2 linked regions of the Coturnix japonica genome follow. The protein of the gene in region 2 purifies or fractionates together with the protein of the main gene of each other region. This does not show direct contact. Links are inferred from orthologs where the notes say so. Each region holds a gene or a part of one and is shown on either strand. Other genes may lie near its edges.

Evidence for each region. Proteins that work in one complex are often made in the same cells at the same time.
Region 1: the proteins of RNF25 (region 2) and ubiquitin-conjugating enzyme E2 E2 purify together in Homo sapiens (affinity purification with mass spectrometry; 3 studies listed by BioGRID and IntAct, counting the BioPlex papers as one, with this or other methods). This does not show direct contact. The link is inferred for Coturnix japonica from reciprocal best matches to the Homo sapiens genes RNF25 and UBE2E2.

Annotation. Positions count from the first base shown.
Region 1 is NC_029517.1:33,810,880-33,820,665, reverse strand, and holds the start of ubiquitin-conjugating enzyme E2 E2, read right to left. Parts: upstream 5,780-9,786; 5' UTR 5,478-5,779; intron 2,253-5,477; exon of another isoform or gene 2,248-2,252; 5' UTR 2,240-2,247; coding exon 2,064-2,239; intron 1-2,063.
Region 2 is NC_029522.1:24,276,162-24,286,090, reverse strand, and holds the start of RNF25 (E3 ubiquitin-protein ligase RNF25), read left to right. Parts: upstream 1-5,116; 5' UTR 5,117-5,171; coding exon 5,172-5,209; intron 5,210-5,287; coding exon 5,288-5,362; intron 5,363-5,433; coding exon 5,434-5,536; intron 5,537-5,628; coding exon 5,629-5,696; intron 5,697-6,353; coding exon 6,354-6,423; intron 6,424-6,554; coding exon 6,555-6,626; intron 6,627-6,797; coding exon 6,798-6,938; intron 6,939-7,277; coding exon 7,278-7,367; intron 7,368-7,791; coding exon 7,792-7,797; intron 7,798-8,080; coding exon 8,081-8,215; intron 8,216-8,346; coding exon 8,347-9,072; 3' UTR 9,073-9,929. Other genes in the region: STK36 (serine/threonine-protein kinase 36), read right to left, coding at 155-249, 474-653, 926-1,069, 1,181-1,307, 1,382-1,584, 1,785-1,954, 2,194-2,287, 2,463-2,712 and 4 more. UniProt on the Homo sapiens protein: E3 ubiquitin-protein ligase that plays a key role in the RNF14-RNF25 translation quality control pathway, a pathway that takes place when a ribosome has stalled during translation, and which promotes ubiquitination and degradation of translation factors on stalled ribosomes.

The DNA.
Region 1 (9,786 bases), on a different chromosome or scaffold from region 2:
AACACGCTGACAAAACCACTGAATAGATTACACAACTATAAAAACTAAACCATGTGAAGACTATATCACTGTGATTCTTCCCCAGTTTTATGACAACCAGCACTCCTGAAAATACATTTATCAAAAGTGCTATTTATTGTGCGCTTATCTACAGAAGCCTTATACTTTTATAAATCATCTCAGCTTTTAAAATGCGTAATCAAAGGCTTTTCTTCAATATTAGTAAACGTGAAACTCTCGTTAGAGTCTAACCAGCAAATGTACTGATGTCAGCAACTGGCATAATTAGTTTCAGCAGAATCATAAGCAGATATGATTAAACTTTAAAAGGTTTAAGTAATTTTATCACTGTGAAATGCATGTTGATAAAAGCCCTAAGCTTTGAAGATGCAAAGCTAAGATTAATAGACCAATTTCTGACATATCATTATTAATTTTTTAATAGGATACTGTCCACAGGCCCTTGTTGGAATCACGGAGTCATCACATTAGACACTGTACAAAGTTCAGACTCTTCTCTAACATGTTAAAAATTGGATTTGAGACCTTTATATTCCTGTCTAGTCCAATATTTCTTACACTAAAAAACAATAGCAGCAAGCAGGCAGAAGAGAAGAAGTCCAGAAACTATAACAACTGTAGGAATTAACTAAATGAGTAGCACTATGGCTTGAAGAGAAAGCTTTTGGTTTTGTTTCTTTTTTTATTACTTCTTTTTCTTTTAGTTGTGAAAAGAAACCTTGGCACGCTCTGTTGGCTATCCTATAACCAATACAACTATGTCATCTACGCACAGCATCATATTAGGAATGGGTCTTGAAAAAGCATCTTGCTGTGGAAGGAGAAAAGGCAAAGGCCTCATGGGGAGGTGCCTGGGGCAGGAGAGAAGCATGCTAATAACACACTGGAAAGACAAGTGAGTCCAGGACAGAGAAGCACACAGATAGTAAAGGACAGAAGAAACCAAGACATAGGCTGGAACCTCGATGAGATGTAGGCACGTAGGAGAATTTTATAAATCACAGCAAAAGGGTCTCTCCTTTTTTTTTGCAAGGCTCCATGTGCAATTCTTTTTTTCCCCGCACAGCAGCACATCTCCAATGTTTTTTCTTGCAGTTCACACTGACTTGAATTAGTGAAAAACAGAATCTGGGACAGTCTGCACAGTTGATCTCATCAGATTCTGCTAAAAGTGTTTAACTACAACCACTGTTATCCCATCTGAGCTCTACTATATGGACTAACACCAGTAAGTACTGATGGAGCAACACTAAGCACTAAGTTCCCCAGGTCTGGACCAAACGTGACAGTCATTATCTGGAAATGAACACGACCATATAGATGTCTTGGAAATGTTCAGTGTCAGGCTGGACAGGGCTTTGAGCACTCTGATCTATCTGTAGGTGTCCATGTTCATGGCTGAGAAGTTAGACGAGATAACCCTTAAGAATTCCATCCAACAGAAACAATTCCATGAGAATAATTTCAGTAGCTGTTCTACAAATCCACTTTTCCTCTCAAGAAGTAAAGAGATGCTAAAGAAATAGGTATTAAAACAGACCACAGTTTAAAGTAATGAAACCAACATGCATTTGTTGTTCACTTCAATGTCTCTGACCTGACCATCTGGGAAAAGGGAATGCAGTTCTTTACAGCAATAGGTATTACGGTAGTCCTAACATGCTGAGTTACTGAACTGTCTGAAATGTTTATGGTTAATTAACTGTAAGTTACACTGACAAGTTTCAACATCAGTCATACATACACATACAGAGATGTATTTTATAAGGCTACAAAACTGTCTGAGTTTTACTAGCAATAAAAAAATGTCAGCTTTTATCATGCAGGCTACTATTAAAACCATGTGAAAGAGCCAATTTGTCAAAGAAAGGAAAAAAAATATACAGGTCTCGTTATCGTGACCAGCCTCAGAAGACTATTACACTGACACAGTAGTGCTACAATAAAACAGTAAGAAAATGAATATACCGAACCATTACATAACATCTGATGGCCAGCTGAAAAACAAGAAAGGAAGAGAAAAAGACAGAAGAACACTGTACCTTTTAGCACTAGTTGACAGTTTAGCAGCTGTTTTGCTTGATATTTTGCCCTCTTTTTTCTTGGGTTGAACTTGCTCCCTTTCTTGTTCAGGCTGAACGCCTTCACGCTGATCTCCATCAGAGCTGCCTCCACTAGTGCTCGGACTGTCATCAACTCTCTGCCCCTCTGTAGACATGGCAGATGCTGCACTGAACCAAACACAAACAACGAAGGTCAGCTTTCCCAGAAGAAGATGTCAGACAGTATTTCTTGCAGGAGGAAATAACACACAAGATCCGTGTCTCTATACTGAAACACTTGCATTACAGCACTTCAGTCATCTTAGTACTGAAGAGTTTTGCCATAAACATCTTAACAATAATTCAGGAGTTGGTCGTTTCAAATTCCATAACAAATATATATGAAGAGAGGACAGATTTGTTATTTATGATAATGACAAGTTACTGCAGTTAAGCACAAAACACGATTGTGTGAGTACTACACCAGTGCCATAAAAGAGATTTTCCCACCCCTTGGTCATATCATAAGTTAGCTTTCTCATCACTCTGCCACCAGCTCACATTTCACATCGTTTGTTAAAAACCCAGAGCTACTGCTATCTGAAGACTCTGCTATCCCATATGAAATAAACCTGTGAGTTCATTCCAAGTCTCTAACATGGGTTTCCACATTACAAACTCCACATCTTGGCACACTGGATGGAAACGCTTGCAGAACCAAAAGGCACTAACACAGAACTGTTTGTGTTTACTAAATGCAATGCTTCTAGAGCAGTAAGTATCCTGGGAGGGGATACAAAGTATCCTCTGCCATGAGGCACCAAAGCTGTCAGGGAACACAAGCTACAGGAAACCCCAACATGCTTCCAGAAGTCGAGGTCACAGTTTACACACACACTTCTGATACCAGTTAGCTATTTTCACTGTTTCCTTCATTTTAAGTAGTATAACACTATGGCAGACGAGGAGTTACAGCTGTTAGGACTTCTTAAAGCATTCTAATGAAGAGCAGACATCCATGTAAAACTGTCTATAAATTGGCATACGTGGTAGCAATGACTGCTGGAAAACTGGAAAAAAAAACAAAACAACCCCCAAACCAACAAACTAAACCCTCAATATATCTAAGGGCCAAATATGGGGCTGATATGGGCACGTTATCTGCCCTCCTCTAGAGCAAAGGAGCCACATTCAAGGTACACAGGCCTCAACATCCCTCACTCACATCCACACAATCCCACAAATCGGAGCGACTTTTCTGATTGAATCTGACCAAATCCAGAATCTGCTGCAGAGTTTTAAATTGCTGTGAACTTCCACTTGCTTTCCCTTTTACTTGGGTACAGACACCATCCCAGTTTAAGAGCCAAACTATTCACCGTGGAGATCATACAATTATAATCTCCAGGGAGAAGACTAAGGGTGGGGGTTTTTTGGTTTAATTTCTGAAGCTAAACAGAAAGGAGACCCTGAAAGCCTGAGATGTTCAACATATTTAGATGCTACAAGAAATAGCAAGCGATGGATATGGGATCAGTTCCGCCTTGTTCAGTTTATGCTACGTTCAAATTCAATTTTTGAAAATGGTGGGTTTTGAGACTTATTTTCTCGCATAAATTTATATAAAACAAATTTACACTTCACTGCATAAAACAACTGAAATAACAGCATGTTTGACTCCTAAAATTAAAGGAAGAAATTGTTCATTCTTAGCAGAACAACCTTCCCTGCGGTACAGCTACAGGATGATACTGAGCACAGTTAACATATTTACATGGGTTAATGCCTCTGTATTTATCTCCTGCTTGTCAGATGTAAAGATAAAACAAATAGAAGACTGGGAGGTAATAGAGCACAGAAGCACCATATTCTGACAAGTCAAAATATGCATTTAATAACGACAGTGCAATTTTGGTTGTAGGCACCTGTTTTCTTTGCTTCTACATACAGCGAAAATACCACCTGATCTCTCTCAATAGCACTTTTGATGGCCTTTATTTACTTTAGATTTTAGTTCTGAACTTTGCTTAACACATCTCATTTTCAAGAGAAAATTCCCTTCCTGATGTACACACACACACGCTTTAACACTGCAGGCCAGACAGTTAAAAACCTATTTAACGAAGCCTGCATGCACGGGACATCTGCTGCAAATAATCTTGGCTATAAATATTACTATTATCCCAAACCAACTGCATTGCTGGGTTAAGTTCAGGTTACTATCCAGCAGACAAACATTGTAACAGTAGCCCTGAGCATATAATTACTGTAACATGTAATGCCAGCATTTACAGCAGGAAAATGCTTGAATCTGTCATCTGATGTCTGGCTGCCTTCTGATTTCCCCCCTTCGCTCCGTGACACCCCCGGGCGCTCTCCCCAGCTCTCTCCTCCCTATAGCCGCAATTTTAGAGGATTGCTCTAAAGGAATCTTTGAATCTAAGGATGCTCCGTGCCCCGCTCCGAGCGCCTTCCAAAGGGCCCCAAGTCACACACTCTCAACTCAAACTCAGGAGGCAGACAAACAGATGAACAAATAAGAGAATGGAAAAAAAACACCGAGAGAAGGATGACAGCGCTGGGAAAGCATCTCGGTGCCACGAGCGGGTTGGGAAGCACTGGGCGCTGCTCGGAGCCGAGAGCAGCAGCGTGCCAACGGGGTTAGAAAGGCGTGGGGATGTCCTGCTCGGGGGTCTCGACCTCTCGCCCCACGTCTCGAAAGGGAACGGGAGGGCAGAGACCGGGAGCCCGCCTGCTTTCCCCGGGATGATTCAGCAGGGCTGGGATTAAGAGTGGGGATTGTAAACGGAGGAGCTCCGGAGGAGCTGCCTCGGTCACAGTCAGCCCCGGGCACTTCCCTACCTCCCCGCCTTCTCAGAAGGGAAAACAAACACGTAGACAAGGAGTGCCCCCGTAAACCCTGCGGCCGAAGCAAGGGATCCAGGCGGGTCGCGGGGGACTGGGGGAGAGTGGAGGTGGGGGGGGGGGGAGTCTAGTCCGCGGGGAAGCCTCCGTCTGCGGTCCTGATTTCCCGAGTGCGAAGGCAGGCTGAGAGCGTCATCCTCACCTTCATCACCCAGAGCTGACCGCGGGCCCGTGGCCACGGGAGGGGGCACACGGGTGGGCGCCCCGGCCCGACTCGCACCGGGACGCGGAGGGGACTGCGGGAGGGCTGCGTCGGGGCACAGCAGGGGGCACCGAGGGGTAAAGGGTGGGGGAGTGCTGACGGTGGGGGCCGGGGGTGGGATGTGGGGGGAGGGGGAAGTGGGGAGAGAGCTGCGAACGGAGAGCGAAGAGTTGCTAGAGGGCACCGGGGGCGGATGGGGCCGGAGGCGGGGCGGGGGAGGGGTGCCGGGGATGGAGGCAGGGGCCGGAGGTCGCGGGGGGTCGGTCACGGGGGTGGGGGGCCGCTACCTGTGCGCGGGGCTCTCCGGCTGCTGCGGGGCGCGGACGGCGGGACGATCCGTAGCGGCGGCCCCGGCTGCGGCCGGGCGAGGGGCTGGCGGGGGGCAGCGGCCGCTCACTGAGTCATGAGCCCGCCCCGCGCTGCCTGCCGCCCGCCCGCTGAGCTCCCTTTCTTCTTTCTGCCCTTTTTCCCCCCTCCGAGCCCAACGGCGACGGCAGCCGCTGCCCGCACCGCCTCTACCGCCGCCGCTCCTGCCCCCGCTGCCCGAACAGAAGTGAAGCCGCTGTCGCCGCGCGCGCGTCCCCGACGCCGACGCCTCCGCGCGCGCTCCCGCCAGGCCCCCTCCCCGAGCACCGCGCGCGCGCCCGGCAGCCAATTAGCCCGGCCGCTTAGGGAGGGGCGGGGGGACGGGTGCGCGTGCGCGCGCTTTCGGAGAGGGTGTGGGGAGGAAAAGGGGGCAGAGCTGGCGGCGGGAGCGCGCGTTAAAGGGAAGCCCGGGGCGGGGCGGGAGGAGCGAGGAGGAAGGACGAGGCGGCGGGGTGCGGGGGGGGTAAACTGAAGGATTCTCGGGTCTCTTGGCCGAGGCGCAGACGAGAGGGCGACCTCACAGCTCGAACTTTCTTTGCTCTCTTTTCTTTGTTCCACGAGTCTGCCGCCCCCCCGGTGACGTCCGTCCACTCCCCCCCCCCCCCCCCGTTGCACGTCCGCGCGGGCAGCAGAGGACGGTGCGAGTTTGCTTTGGGGTGGCACTGCACCGAGTGGGGCGAACCCCCGTCTGCTGCTCTGTGCCGCCGCCCCGTCCCTTACATCACAGCCGGGGGCAGCTCGGCTCTGTTATATAAACTTGCATGGGCTCACGACGACAGGCAGCGAAATACGTGGTAGTGGGTACGGAGGTAATGACAGCCCCAAATATTTCCCCCTTCTTAAGGGAATTTAAAGCCATGCTTCTGGTGTTCCACATCTAGAAGGAAAAGTTTCTCCCTGCGTCAATCGTGGGGTTTTGTGCTTTTCCCGACTCGTGGCAAGGGCAGAGGTGCAGCCCGTGATGCCCAGCGGGCAGAGATAGGGATGGGAACACAGTAGGAACGAGGAGGGGGTGGGGGGCTGATCGGCAACGTGAGCAGCGCCCGCGTCCCATGGCCGGCAGCGGCGGCCATCCCTGCAGCTTTCTCTGCACGTAAAGTCCACCTTGCTCCTGGCTGATGAGTTGTTGGGAGCTAACTTGCTTTATTGTCTCTTCCTGTCTCGTTTTTAAATAATCCCAGCAACGTTTTCACCTGTACTTAAAAGCACAGCAGTCAGCCAGGTCTTCCTATTTCATGTGCAGTTACAATATATCTTTCTGCTGCTAATGAGCTTCCAGTGTCAGCTAGGTGGGTTCCTATCTGCTGGCGTGTGTTGACTTCTCGCAATGACTAATAACTCAGTAATTAAGAGAACACAATGCATTAAAATCACTTAAAGAATGCAGATCTTGTGCAAGCAGTGCCTCTTGTCATGCTGGAAGGTTGCTGGCCACATTGCACGCTCCTGGCATCACTTTACTCCCTTTTCTAAACTGATTTGCATCACACCTTTTTCTTCCAGGCATTCCAAAACAGAGTGCTGGAAGCACAGGGGAGAAGGACAGTGAATAGCCTAATTCAGACAGGGGTAGGATGGGGGCAGGTAGTGTCCCGGAATTTGGGTCATAAACTCCCAGTGCCAAAAAAAAATCATGGGAGTGCTGAAGGGTTCCAGCACCGAGTGAAGGGTTTGAATCACTAAGATCTGGGCCCAGATTTTATTTTTGATGAGTAACCTCTGGCCAAAGCTAAAGTTAAGGATAACTAATTGAGGGAGATGGCTTTTATTGTCTCATGACCAGGACTTTGTGATTGTAGAGGTGGAAGTTTTTTTAAAGGAGACACTTAGAATCATAGAATCATTAAGGCTGGAAAAAAACAAGACCCATTCCCACCATGCTCACTGAACCATGTCCCTAATTGCCACATCTACCCTTTTTCTGAGCGCCTTCAGGGATGATGACTCCACCATCTCCCTGGGCAGCTTGTTCCAGTACCTTGCCACTCTTCCTGAGAAGATTTTTTTTATCTCAAACCTGAACCTCCCCTGGTGCAACCTGAGGCCATTACCTCTCATTCTATCACTATTATCTGGGAGAAAGGCTGACTCCCACCTCACCACGGCCTTCTTTCAAGTACTGGTGGAGAGCCGTATAGTCTCCCCTCATCCTCCTCTTCTCCAGACTAAACTATCCCAGGTCTCTCTGCCATTCCTCATAAGGCATGTGCTCCAGACTCTTCATAACTTCACTGCCCTTCTCTGGACGTGCTCCGTGGCCTTGAAGTCTTGTTGCAACTGACCCAAATTTGAACACAGTACTCAATTACCACCTGCGAAGTGAAGAAGGCAGTGTAGTCAACTGCTCCCAGATTCATCCTTTTGACCTTCCAAAGAAATGTGTTTGGTCCTCAGATGTTAAAAGTTGCACAGTTTTGTATGATTCAAAATCCTTTGGAAGACTTTTTAAGTTTGGGTCACACAGGGTGAAATCCTGACCCTTCCAAAGTCAGAGGCAATTCTCCAGTGTTACCCTTCACCCCAAGCTAGAGTGTTAAACTGTTTTCCCTGTCTGGCTTTGTGTGGTTTCTAAAAGCTGATGCTATTTACAGCTCTGGGCATATCCAAAGGAATCTTAACTCCTACAGAAGCTTACAGCTTGCTCAGTGAGATACACTGGGGTGCAGCTCTTCAGCACAGGCAGTCGCGCCATCAGGCTGTTATAGCTAAGGACACTTCTGTTAAGGCCTCTTGATTTAGAGTGTCTGCTACAAGGGCAGATACATCAATCAAAATCTGTGAAGTTGGAGAAACCTGAGCCAAGTTTCTATTTAAAAATGTTTAATTGAAGGATCAATTAAAATTATTATTATTATTTATTTATTTAGCTGTACTGAGATCCTGTCTCTGGCAAGTTTCACCTTTTTTTTTTTTTTTTTTTTTTTTTTTTTTTTTTTGTTCAGTTAAAAACATGGAAATTAAATGCTCAATTATTGTTAGATGTCAAAACAAGAATTAGAAAAATGCAGCTTTGAATTTTATTCTGCATTTATGAATTATTGGTCACTCACATTTAAGCAGAAAATCACTTTACGACTGCTATTTAGGCTGAGAAATATACAGCATGTTTAGGTAGTAACTGATAAAACTTCATGCGTACAGGATGCACAAATTGAAGAGACTGAGTTTTCTGAGGCAGAGAAAAGACCAGGAAGCATGTCCACTGTGATACAGCTGAAAATATAACAGCAGCTCTCAGCATCTCACTTTCAAAACTTCAATATTTTGAAGTAAAGAGAGAGATGGAAAATATTCAATTGTCCATGGAACTCTTTGTTGTTCCATCAGTCTCTTTCAATCAAACCCTAATGAACCAGGTCATTTCATCCACTTGAACCACTATCAGCAGAAGATTGGAGCAATGGGGACACTAGAAAACTCCGTGGGATCTTCCCCCCTCTGTGTCCCTCTCCACATTCCTTTCCTTCTGCTCAATGTATCTGGTGAGGGCAGCTCTCATCAGTGGGTCCTCTCTCCCAGTATTCCCCCCCATCTTGATTTGATGTAGGCATGCAGAATGGCAAGAGTCTCTGCAGTGCCTTTATCCTCTCCCATAGCTGGCTTTCTTCCTACTACTATACTACTGTGATGGCACAAAGCCATAAGGATAGTCCAGAGGATCTGGCTTGCTCTTTATTCTTTTTTCCCTCCCTGATAATTATTTCTCCCATTTGCTTATTCTCGCATTGCATCTGATTACTTTTTTTTTTATGATTCCACTTTGCTTTTGTCTTCAATTTGCTAAATCCTACTCTGCATGTTGACAAATGTAAACTGAAACTCACAGCTATCTCAGTCTCTGAAGTCTCAGCTGTGCCTGAAGACATAGTGATTCAGACATCAGGATTCTTCCTGTTCATTTTGTTTTCCAGCTATTGGCATGTAGAATGAAGTGGAGGAGCAAGGATGGGTTTCTGGAAGGTATCTGCAAGCTGAAGTTTTATTAGATTTTTTTTTTTTTTTTTTTCAGTTAATTGTGTATGTCTTCATCCCTGAAAAAAAGACACCCTGTGTCAAGGAAAACATGATTGAATCCTGAACACCAGGTAAGCTTATTATTTAAATATTGCCTTGACAGAAATCTGTTTAAAGTATTTTCATGGCATTCTAAAGTGAAGTGATTGTGTGGGCACAGAGACAAGTTATTACTAGCTTTATTTGCTCTACAATAACGTAAACCCTCAAATCATT
Region 2 (9,929 bases):
CTTCCCGTGTTAGCCCCATGGAAAGTATTTATCTGTAAGTACTGTGATGTTTGTCATGATGCTTCCCCACATAACAGCATCTCCTTCCTGCCTACTTCTTGACTGTCCCTACTGTGGCCACAAGAGACCTCAGAGTGCACCACATTGCCCCTACCTGTCCTGCCCACTCTTCTCCAGGCTGCGTTCGCTACTGAAGTAACCTGTGGTCACCATGATGAGGTCTGTCAGCACTGCAATACACCAGGGCTGCTGCAAGAAGCAGAAAGAAACATGAAGTGGCAGCAATTGTCAGGCTGGCAGGCAGACACCACTGCAGCAGGATCCTTCCTTGCCAAGATCTTTCTCCTTCTAAACAGGGCCTGGAAGAGACACTGGTGCTGTGAACCAGTTCCAGCAGGACACAGAGACCTGTGACAACACAGGCACACTGCAGGACTGAGGGAGCCCCAGTCTGCCTGGGGTTCCACACCCACCTGCTTGGTTCTGCCACTCTCCAGTATCTGCTTGGCCAGATGCAGCAAGGACAATGGCACATTCAGCTCTTGGCAAAAGAGGTTCAGCAGCTCAGAGTCACAGCGGGTAGCCAGGAGATTTCCCACAACACGAAGCACAGAACGGAGATGGGAGGCTCCCTCAAGCATCCCTTCCAGCACCTGGGCAGCAAGAAGCCAAAAAGACTCATTCAGCAGCACTTATGGCCTCTCCATCAGCCATGTGGCTGCCTCCCAGCCTCTAAGGCAAGGGACAACAGTGGAACAGATGACAAATTGTGTGAGGCAGCTCTGATTCTTGGGGAAGCAGCAGGACTCCTTGCTAGCTGAAGCAAGGGGATCTCCCAGTGCTCCCAACCCAATCCCAGGAAAGAAGGCAGCATCCATGTCCCAGCCTCAGTCAGCTGGACAAGCCTTGTGACAAGCTCACTCACTTGCTGAGCAGATTCTGCAAGCCGGGCTTGGACACGGTGCCGGAAGGCTGAGTCCCTCAGGAGGCTCAGAGGTGTGCTCAGCTGCATGGCCAAGGGCTCTGTGGCCTCGATCAGGTGCTGCCACTCCTCATCACTCCCCAGCTCCTGACCACGGAGAAGAGAAAGCTGGTGCCAAAGATCCTGCCTGCCCCAGAGTCTATGTATCACGCCCTAGGGAGCGGGCCCTCATGTCCTTATCACAGGACACCGTCTTACCTCACTCTCCAGGTCCACAGCCTCAATGCTTTGCCTGCCCTCAAGCTCTGCTCTGCCAACACCAAGCTGCAGAGGTGCTTCTGGCTGGGGAAACTCCCGCTCATAATCTTGTGTGATGCTGTGCTCCCTGGCCAAGGAAACAGCCCAGTCAATGAGCTACCCCACTTTCCTCTCTTTTTCCCAGTCCCAACCTTCCCTCACCGTGGGCTGGGAGGAGGCTCCTCCAGTTGCCACTCTGACATGCTGTTCTTTCCTTGCAGGACACCTGAGTTCTTCTCTTGGAAGGATGCTGGTAGCTCCTTCCCCTCCTCAAGAGCTGCCTTTCCAAACGCTTCTCTGGGTTTATGTCTGGTGTGTCCTTTGCCAGAGTCCTTCATAGATGGAGTCTTTGCCTTCAGCTGCCCCTGGTAGATGGCAGAGAAGTTTGGTCAGGGCAGACTCAGTGAGAAGAGTTGCACCACACCAACGGCCCCACAATCCTGCCTCATATGTGGCCATTACACCAGCCTGGCCCACCTCCTGTCTTTCCCCTTGGTCCCATTTAAGAGCCCCTCTTTTGACATAACCATGGGTGCAGTCCAGAGAATCCCACGCTTTTCTCCACCTTTTTCTGTGCCTCCTCAGCCATCTTCTGCCGAGCCTTTCTCAGGATCCTGGACTGACCACTCCTAGGGGCCAGGGAATGGGCTTGCTGCTCTTTCAGGGCCTGTAGCTCTGGGGACAGCTTGGTGGTGAAGGGGTTTGAAATCCCATGCTCTTCTGTGTCATCAATCACTGAGAAGGCAGGAGCAGAATTTCAGCAGATCTTTCTTGAGACACAGGGAGAGCAACCAGCTCCGCAATGCCAGGAGAATCCTGAGGGACCCAGAGCAACCCCAGGGGCAGGAGCTAGGGGTTAGTGGTCAGTGCAAACTATGAGGAAGGAGGCAAAGACCAGGGTAGGAAAAAAAAGAATGGTAGGGTGGTATTCCCAGTCTCCAGGCAATAAGAAGGGGAAATGATCTGGTACGCACCAGTCACCCGTCCAGCAACAAAGGGGTGGGAGAGCAGCTCTGGCCATGACAAGCGCTGGCGAGGGTCCTTCATTAGCAGCCCCTGCAGGAAGCTCTACAAGGCAGCACAGTGCCAAGGACAGACACCACACATGCAAAAAACAAACAAACAAAAATGAATACAGTGCTCCCACTAGTCTCCCACAGAAAGAGCACTCAGGACTCCTGGGTTCTTTGGCTCACCCTGAGAAACACTTGGACTGGTGCTAAGACAAGGCTTTGCTCCTTACCTTGAAGGTTGGGCTTATGGCCTTAGGCCACTTGACAGGGTCCTTGACAATGAGGCTGACAAGCTGGAAGATGCTGCTTGTGTAGAAGGGAGGTTTGCCTGTGAACAGCTCATACAGGATGCAGCCCACAGACCACAGGTCTGCTGTGTGGTCATACGGCCGCTCCTCCACCAGCTCAGGGGACATGTACAGTGGAGTGCCCTTGATGGAAGTCAGCACCATGGTGTGGATGCTCATGGCACGTGCAAACCTGCTCAGAGCAAAACACAGGTGGACATTTCAGGCTAGAGCAGCCACTGCAGCTCCCAAGGAGACCCCGCGAGTCATCAATATCCTGTCCCTTCTGGAGCCCCAAATTCCCTACCCCTGCTAACCCCTGAATATGTGCAGAATGCAAGTCCCCTTCCACACCTCCCCTTCTCGTCTACAGCTCCAGGACACCCCTTGGAAGCCCCAAGCCTACACACCCATCTTAGCTGGTCACCCATACGCACCCAAAGTCACAGAGCTTGATGACACCATCTTTGCCCAGCAGGATGTTCTGGGGTTTCATGTCACGGTGCAAGATGCGGTGGGAGTGTAGGTAATAGAGAGCAGAGACCAGCTGGGCAGCTATGATCTGCACCTGCCAGAGACACAGGAGCTTCATTCCAGTACCCCAACTCTTGCCCTTGCCTTGTCTGGGGCAGGGACCAGCCCCAGCCTTGAGCCAGCAGCCCCTCCCTGGCAGAGGAGTGAGCCAAAGGCTGAGGCAGCAGCCATGTGTTGTGGCTCTTACAGAAGGAACAGGGAGGTCGAGGTCTATGGGACCACTATAACACACTGCCTGCAATCCGGCTGCCTTTTCATCCCCTTCAAAAACTCTGCCAGCCAAAGCTTCAAAGACACCTTCACCCCCTTGACGTATCCACTCTAACAGCAGAACCCTCTGCCTGCTGAAAAACCCTGTTCGCTCCATCCTGCAGTAAAGCCTATATGGCCAGTCACCTGGTCCTCGGGCAAACTGCCATCATCCTCCAGGATCTGGAATAGCTCTCCCTCTGCGTAGTCAGTCACCATCACCACCTGGAAGAAGGAGCAGCGTGAAGGCATTAAGCACACCCCCAGACACATCCCTGCTGAACCTTTAAGCTCTACTTATCCAGAGCACTGTAAGGTGGAATGATACAAAGATGGTAACGGAGATTCAAAAGGTTATTTATGAAGAAAAACGTCACCAATATGTATGGCTCCACTGGGAAATGCTGAGGCAATCTCCACCAGGGAGCAATCTCTAAGAGACGCTGCCTTAGTGGTGGTCAGCCCTTAAATGAGGTCTAGAGGAGGTGGAGTCAAGCTTCACCCCTTCTGGGAGCACAGCTAAATTACTCTCAACTGTGCTCCCACACCTGACCCGACACTTGGCTCAGCTGATTAATCAGAGGTTCAGGCTGTGATTACCAATGTCCCATATAAACACGCAGCAGAAGTCAGGGAAGTGTAAAGGAACAGGATAAGCATATAATGGTATTTCTGAGCCCAGTGGTAGAATCACTCCCTTGAGCATATTTTTTATCTACTGCCCAATTACTGGAGGGCTCAGACAAATATCAATCATTAGGCCGGGTCACAATCCTAAGTCTATTCCCTCATAAGGTCTCTCCGTGTCCATAGAGCAGGAGTTCCCAATTAAACCACCTGAGGGAGTAGAATACCTGGTGGCAGGTCTGCAGCACTCAACAAGAGTGGAGATACAGCTGGGCACTGAAAAAACCTGGTTAGATAGAAATGCTGCTAGAGCCCTGGAATATTGTCACCAGCATCTCCTGAGGCAGAGGTGACAGCAGATGACAGCCCACGCCCCCACCCCACCAAGCAAAAGTACCTGCCCTGCACGGGTCCCATTACCTCTTTATCAGTCTCAAAGCTGTCGAGCATCTGGATGATGTTAGGATGACGGAGACCTCTCATAATCTCAATTTCCCGCTGCAGATTCTTCAGCTCCTTCTCAGACCGCCCCACCTTGGGGATGAATTTCAGAGCCACCACCTTCCAAAGCAAAGCTGGGATCAGAGCAGTGTCCTGCCCGCGTTGGCAGGGGCTGCATTTAACCCAAGCGGGACTCATTATTTTCTAGGTGAACACACAGAACAAGACACGTTCATAGGGCCGGAGCAAGGAGTATAAGTACTCAGTACTCAGTACCTGAGCTGTGTGAGCAGGACTACAGGCTGTCTTCTAAAGGAAGAGATTATTGCCCTTTTCTTATTACTTTTAGGCTACAGTGGCCATTTTTTGGTCCAGAAGTGCACTGACAAACAGGAGCGGTCCTAGCTGGGGCACCAGGGTAGCAAGGTGGCTGATAACAGGGCATACAAGCTGAAACTGGGGGGGCTGAGCTTTATTAACCCGGTGTCTGGCAGGAGGCTTCTAAGATAGAGCCGGGCTCTTTATAGAGACCCATCTCTCTCCTCACCTGGGCGCTGCACCTCCGCCGCCCCTTGTACACCCGTCCGAAGGAGCCTTCTCCGATCACCTCCAGCACATGGTACCTCTCCATGGCGGAGCTCCGGGGTCGGGCCGAGGTTCCTCACAACACGGACCGACGATTTAAGGCCGCAGTATAACGCTGTTACAGGCCGTGGGGCCGCAGTACAACGCGGTTACAGGCCGCGCCGCCACATCGCCTAGCAACAGCTGAGGCCTTCCGCATCCGGGTCGGCCGTGAAGATGGCGGCGGCCGGCGAGGAGGCGGAGGCGGCGGACTGGTAATGGATCCCCCTGTCCCTCCCTGCCTTTCCCCGGGGCTGCTGCTTGTGGCTTCCTGACCGCTCGGTGCTCCGCAGGGCGCTGCCGGCCGAGGTGGAGGTGCTGGAGTCCATCTACCTGGAGGAGCTGCGGGTGGTGCGGGGCAGCGCGAGGTACGTACCGGGCCTCGCTCCCCGGCCCTGCTCCCGGCCGCCCCTTATCTCTTATCTCTGCCCGCCCTTAGGGCCGAGCCCTGGGAGCTGAGCATCACCCTGCACCCCGCCACGGCCCAGGACCAGGACTCCCAGTTCGTTCGCTGCACGCTGGTGCTGGCCGTGCCCCCCCAGGTAGGCTCCCATCCCGACCGGGCCCCTTGCTGCCCCTTATCTCTGCTTTTCTCGGTGCGTTTGGGGTTTTGTTGCTTGGTTTTGTTTTCTAGTATCCCAACGAGGCTCCGGACATCTCCATCAGCAACCCACGGGGGCTGTCGGATGAGCAGATCCAGAAGTGAGTGGGCAACCTGGTCTAGTAAATGTGTATGTTTGGTGGCCCTGCCAGGCAGGGGGGTTGGAACTACATGATCCTTGAGGTCCCTTCCAACCCGGGTCATTCTGTGATTGTGTGTGAGTGCTAAGAGGGAGGAGAGCAGAGTGGTGGTGTTAACAGTGCTGTAGAGCCTTCTCTTTATGCCTCTAGGGTGCCCTGTCAGCTTAACACATACATACAGCTCTCCAATCACCTTGAGTTAAGCTTTATGTCAGCTTTGATGCTGAGGAATGGTTTGTTCCCTTGTGGTCCACCTGAAACGTAAACTGAAGTCTCTCAGGCCTTCAGAGATGTTGATCCAGGTCTGACAGAGACATCACTGCAACTCATTTCAGTCTTCACACAGCCTGCTGCTGCCTTTGTGCTCCCGTTGTTGGTGCAGCAGAGATCCAGATACCAGTCAATGCACGGCATTAAAGTTGCTCCCACCAGATCAACAAAACCTTAGAGCACGGGAATATGTGCTTGCATCCGCGCTCATCCTACACTGTAGGCAAAGCCTGGTGGATGGCGTTCTTTTTATTTCTCTTGTTATCATGGTGGGGTGATGACAGGCGTGTGGAAGAGTGAAAAGGTGTGGCAAAGTTTGTGTTAAGTATTTGTGCTGCTTTGCTGTAGGATTTTACAGACCCTCAGAAATGTTGCTGAAGCCAGGCTGGGGACAGAGGTGCTGTATGAGCTGATTGAGGTGAGAGCTGGGGAGAAGGGAGGCAGCCAGATACGCACACCATTCTTTGACTCCCTTTGAGGTGGGAGAGCCCTGAGTCTGGGCCCATGTGGAGGCCAGTGAGAAAAATGCTTGCTTTTCTGCTTTGACAGAAGGGGAAGGAGATTCTCACTGACAACAATATTCCTCATGGCCAGTGTGTGATCTGCCTCTATGGATTCCAGGTAGGAATACATATTCCAGCTCTTCGTGCTGGCTGAGAAGTGAGTCAGATGAAGCCCAGTGGGAGAAGCTATGTATTTCTGCCATCAATAACATCCCTGCTGACATGGGAATGAAAACCCACCTCAGCTCGGTGCTGGGAACACCCTGTGAACACCCTTTTTCCTCCACAGGAGAGAGAAGCCTTCACAAAGACCCAGTGCTACCACTACTTTCACTCACACTGCCTGGCCCGCTATGCACAGCACATGGAGGAGGAGATTCTTATGCAGCAGGAGGAGAGAGAACAGCACCTGGCACCTTCCCCCAAACAGGTATTTGGCTTTGATCCCCTGCACAGGCCCTCATGAGTTCTCTGTCACTCCCTGTGGGATGTGGAACAAAGGCCAGCCTGACTCAGCAGCCATGTGCAGCATGGTTAGCATGGTGCCTGTGTTGAGAGAATCAGTGGAGATTGGACCAAATGAGCCCCAGGAGCCCTTTCCAATCATAATTAGAAACTGGAATCCCCCTGGGCCTCCCTGCCTTAGTAGAAAAGTGCTTGTGTTTAGCTGAAGTAGGCTGCCCTGTTTGTTTCACTTCCACCCTGGGGATTCTCTCGATGTATATGGGCTGGGCTGCTGCCTAGGGTTTCACCTCTCACCTCCCTGCAGAAAGTCGGCGTGCAGTGCCCTGTCTGCCGGGAAACCTTGATTTATGACCTCTGTGCCCTGAAGGCAGCGCCACCACCACAGCACCCACTGGTAAGAGATGGGGATTCATCTGCCTGGCTGTGTCCACTCTCTGGGTAGCTAAAATGTCATCTGGGACATTTTATCCATGAACAAACAGTGTCTGCTGGAGCTGATTAATGTGCTCTGCCAGTTACTCTCGGAAAACACACAAACATACAAATTCCATCTTGTGCTCTGTTCAGAGGGGGGACCACTGCAGCCCTTCTGTGTGATAAAGGCAGAGGGAAGCAAAAGATATGTAGCTGTTGCATATGGAGGCAGTGAGGATATGTAGTGTTGTTGGCTTACTCTCCAAAGCAAGCAGATATGGTGGGAGAGAGAGGCAATTCTGCCATCAAGTACTGAGTGCTTGATTTTCTATGTTCTCTCTGCTCTAAGAGAATAACTGTAGGTTTTCTTAAATATGTCCCTGTACCCACTGAGATGTTATCAGTTTCAGGTGAGTGACTCCAGCTTGTGTGGTGAGTTCTGGGGTTCTTCGTTTTTAGCTGCTCTGCATCTTGCTCCAAAGCAGGAGGCCCTAAGTCAGGGAATAGTGGGTGTTCCCTCTCTCTGTGTAAGTACTACACGTGAATCTGTAGGCTCAGTGGGTCAGATGTTGTAAAGACCAGTTGCTTGGGTGCTGTGTGATCAAATGAGGGTTTGGGGAGTTGCTCGTGGTGTTGTTAACTGACTACCCGTATAGACAGAGCCCTTAACCCCTCTTGCTGTCTGCCACTCAGGAGCCATACAGACCAGATGCCAAGATGCTGCAGCACCAAGAAGAACTGCGCTTAATTTTCAAGAAACAGCAAGAGAAAGGGGGCATCATTGATCCTGAAGCAGAGAAGAACCGTTACTTCATCAGCCTCCAGGCGGTATGGCACTGGGGGCAGAGAGCTGCTGAGCTCCACGTCAGCAAGGATGTCCCTGGACTTAAGGGCCAAACACTGTCATCTGCTTTGGGAGTGTCCTTTCCCTTTCTTAACTGTTGGCTTCTTTCTTTCAGCCTCCAGCTACTGTTGATCCAGGCCAGGTAGCTGCTGCCTCTGAGCCACTGGTGAGTGCTAGCGATGTGGACACACCTCAGGCATCCTGCCAGACCTCAGCTCTGGAGCCAGCTAGGGCTCCAGAGAGCACGGCAGAGCCTGGGCAGCCTGAGAGATCTGCTGTGCCCAAGGAACCCCAGAGCAAGAGGGAGAGGCACAGAGGGGAGAGACCAGGCCCAAGAGGCCAAGGCAGGCAGTCCTGCAGCAACTCACAGGAAGTGGCAGGGGAAGCCTGTCATCTGTCCCATGGCTCCAGGGTGCCCAGAGGCTTTGGTCAGAGACCAGAGAGAAGACCTGCTGGGAGGCGCTGTCAGGAGTTTCCAAAACCTCACAGCAGAAGCAAGGCAGCTGCCTTGGCTGAAAGAAAGGAGCTGTGCCCTGAAGATCCCTCACCAGCAGTAGATGCAGTGGACTTGAAAGAGGAACACCATAACATGGAAAGCTGGACCCCGGAGCAAGGTGCTGAGGCCCAAAGCAGGGAGAAGGAGAACCTGGCATTCAACCACAGCAATCACAGAGCAGCTCCTGGCTGGCAAGGCCACCACAGGCCCTGGGATTGCGGGAGGTGGGAAAGGTCCAGAGCGCAGGATCGTGGCTCCTACCACAGAGCACCAAGAGGGCGAGGAGTGTTCAGGCCCAGTGGACGTCGAGAAGCCCATTTTGGGGAGAAGGAAAGCAGTTCCTAGCAGGAGGGGTATGGGGCTGGGCTGGGAAGGGGCTGTTAATAAATGAGAATGGCAAAGGTTCTGGTAGAGCGGTCACAAGGAGTCACCATACAGCTTGGGACAGAGGAAGCACTTGGCACAGCTTGGGACAGGTGGAGTCTCCATGGTTCATGTAGAATGAAGCATAGGCTGCCTGGTGTGAGCAACTGGCTGTCACCACCACAGGAGAAGCTGACTTCTGACAGCTCACAGCAGCCTTGCTCCTGAAAGATGCAGGGGGCAGAGGAGGGCTTGACCAGGGACCAGCATGCATTCATCATCTGTTTTTGTGAGCCAAGAAACATGCGTACCTACAGAAACAAGTGGAACTAGCTTGGCATGGTGCTACAGCAGAGCTGAAGCCCTGCAGGACCTTCCCTGGAACGGAGCATGCCTGCAGAGCCATGATGGCACCAGGCGGTGAGGCTGTGCCAGGGCAGCAACCTGCAGCTCAGCTTGCTGCATCCTTTGGTGCTTCTTGGAGCACATTCTGAGCTGCTGTCCCCGCTCCTTAGAGATGACTTTGTTTCCTCTGTGGTGCAGACTGCTGCTCAACTCATAGGCTTGGCCAGGCAAGTCCTTTGTATATCATGACTCCTCCCAGCCTCAGCCAGAGCTGGATTAAGTTTAAGCCAATACTGAGGCAGGTCAGGACTGTCCAGTGACTGAGACCTGGTGCTGGCTCCTGCTCCCCCTGGAAGCTTGAGTTTAGCAGGAGCTTCTGCCCTGTCCTTCAGCTGCTTTCTTGCAGTTCCTTCTGCTGCTGTTTCAGATTCAGACTATGTCCTGCTGCAGAGACATGACAGGAATCCCAAATTTCTGAAGTGGGACACTGCTAT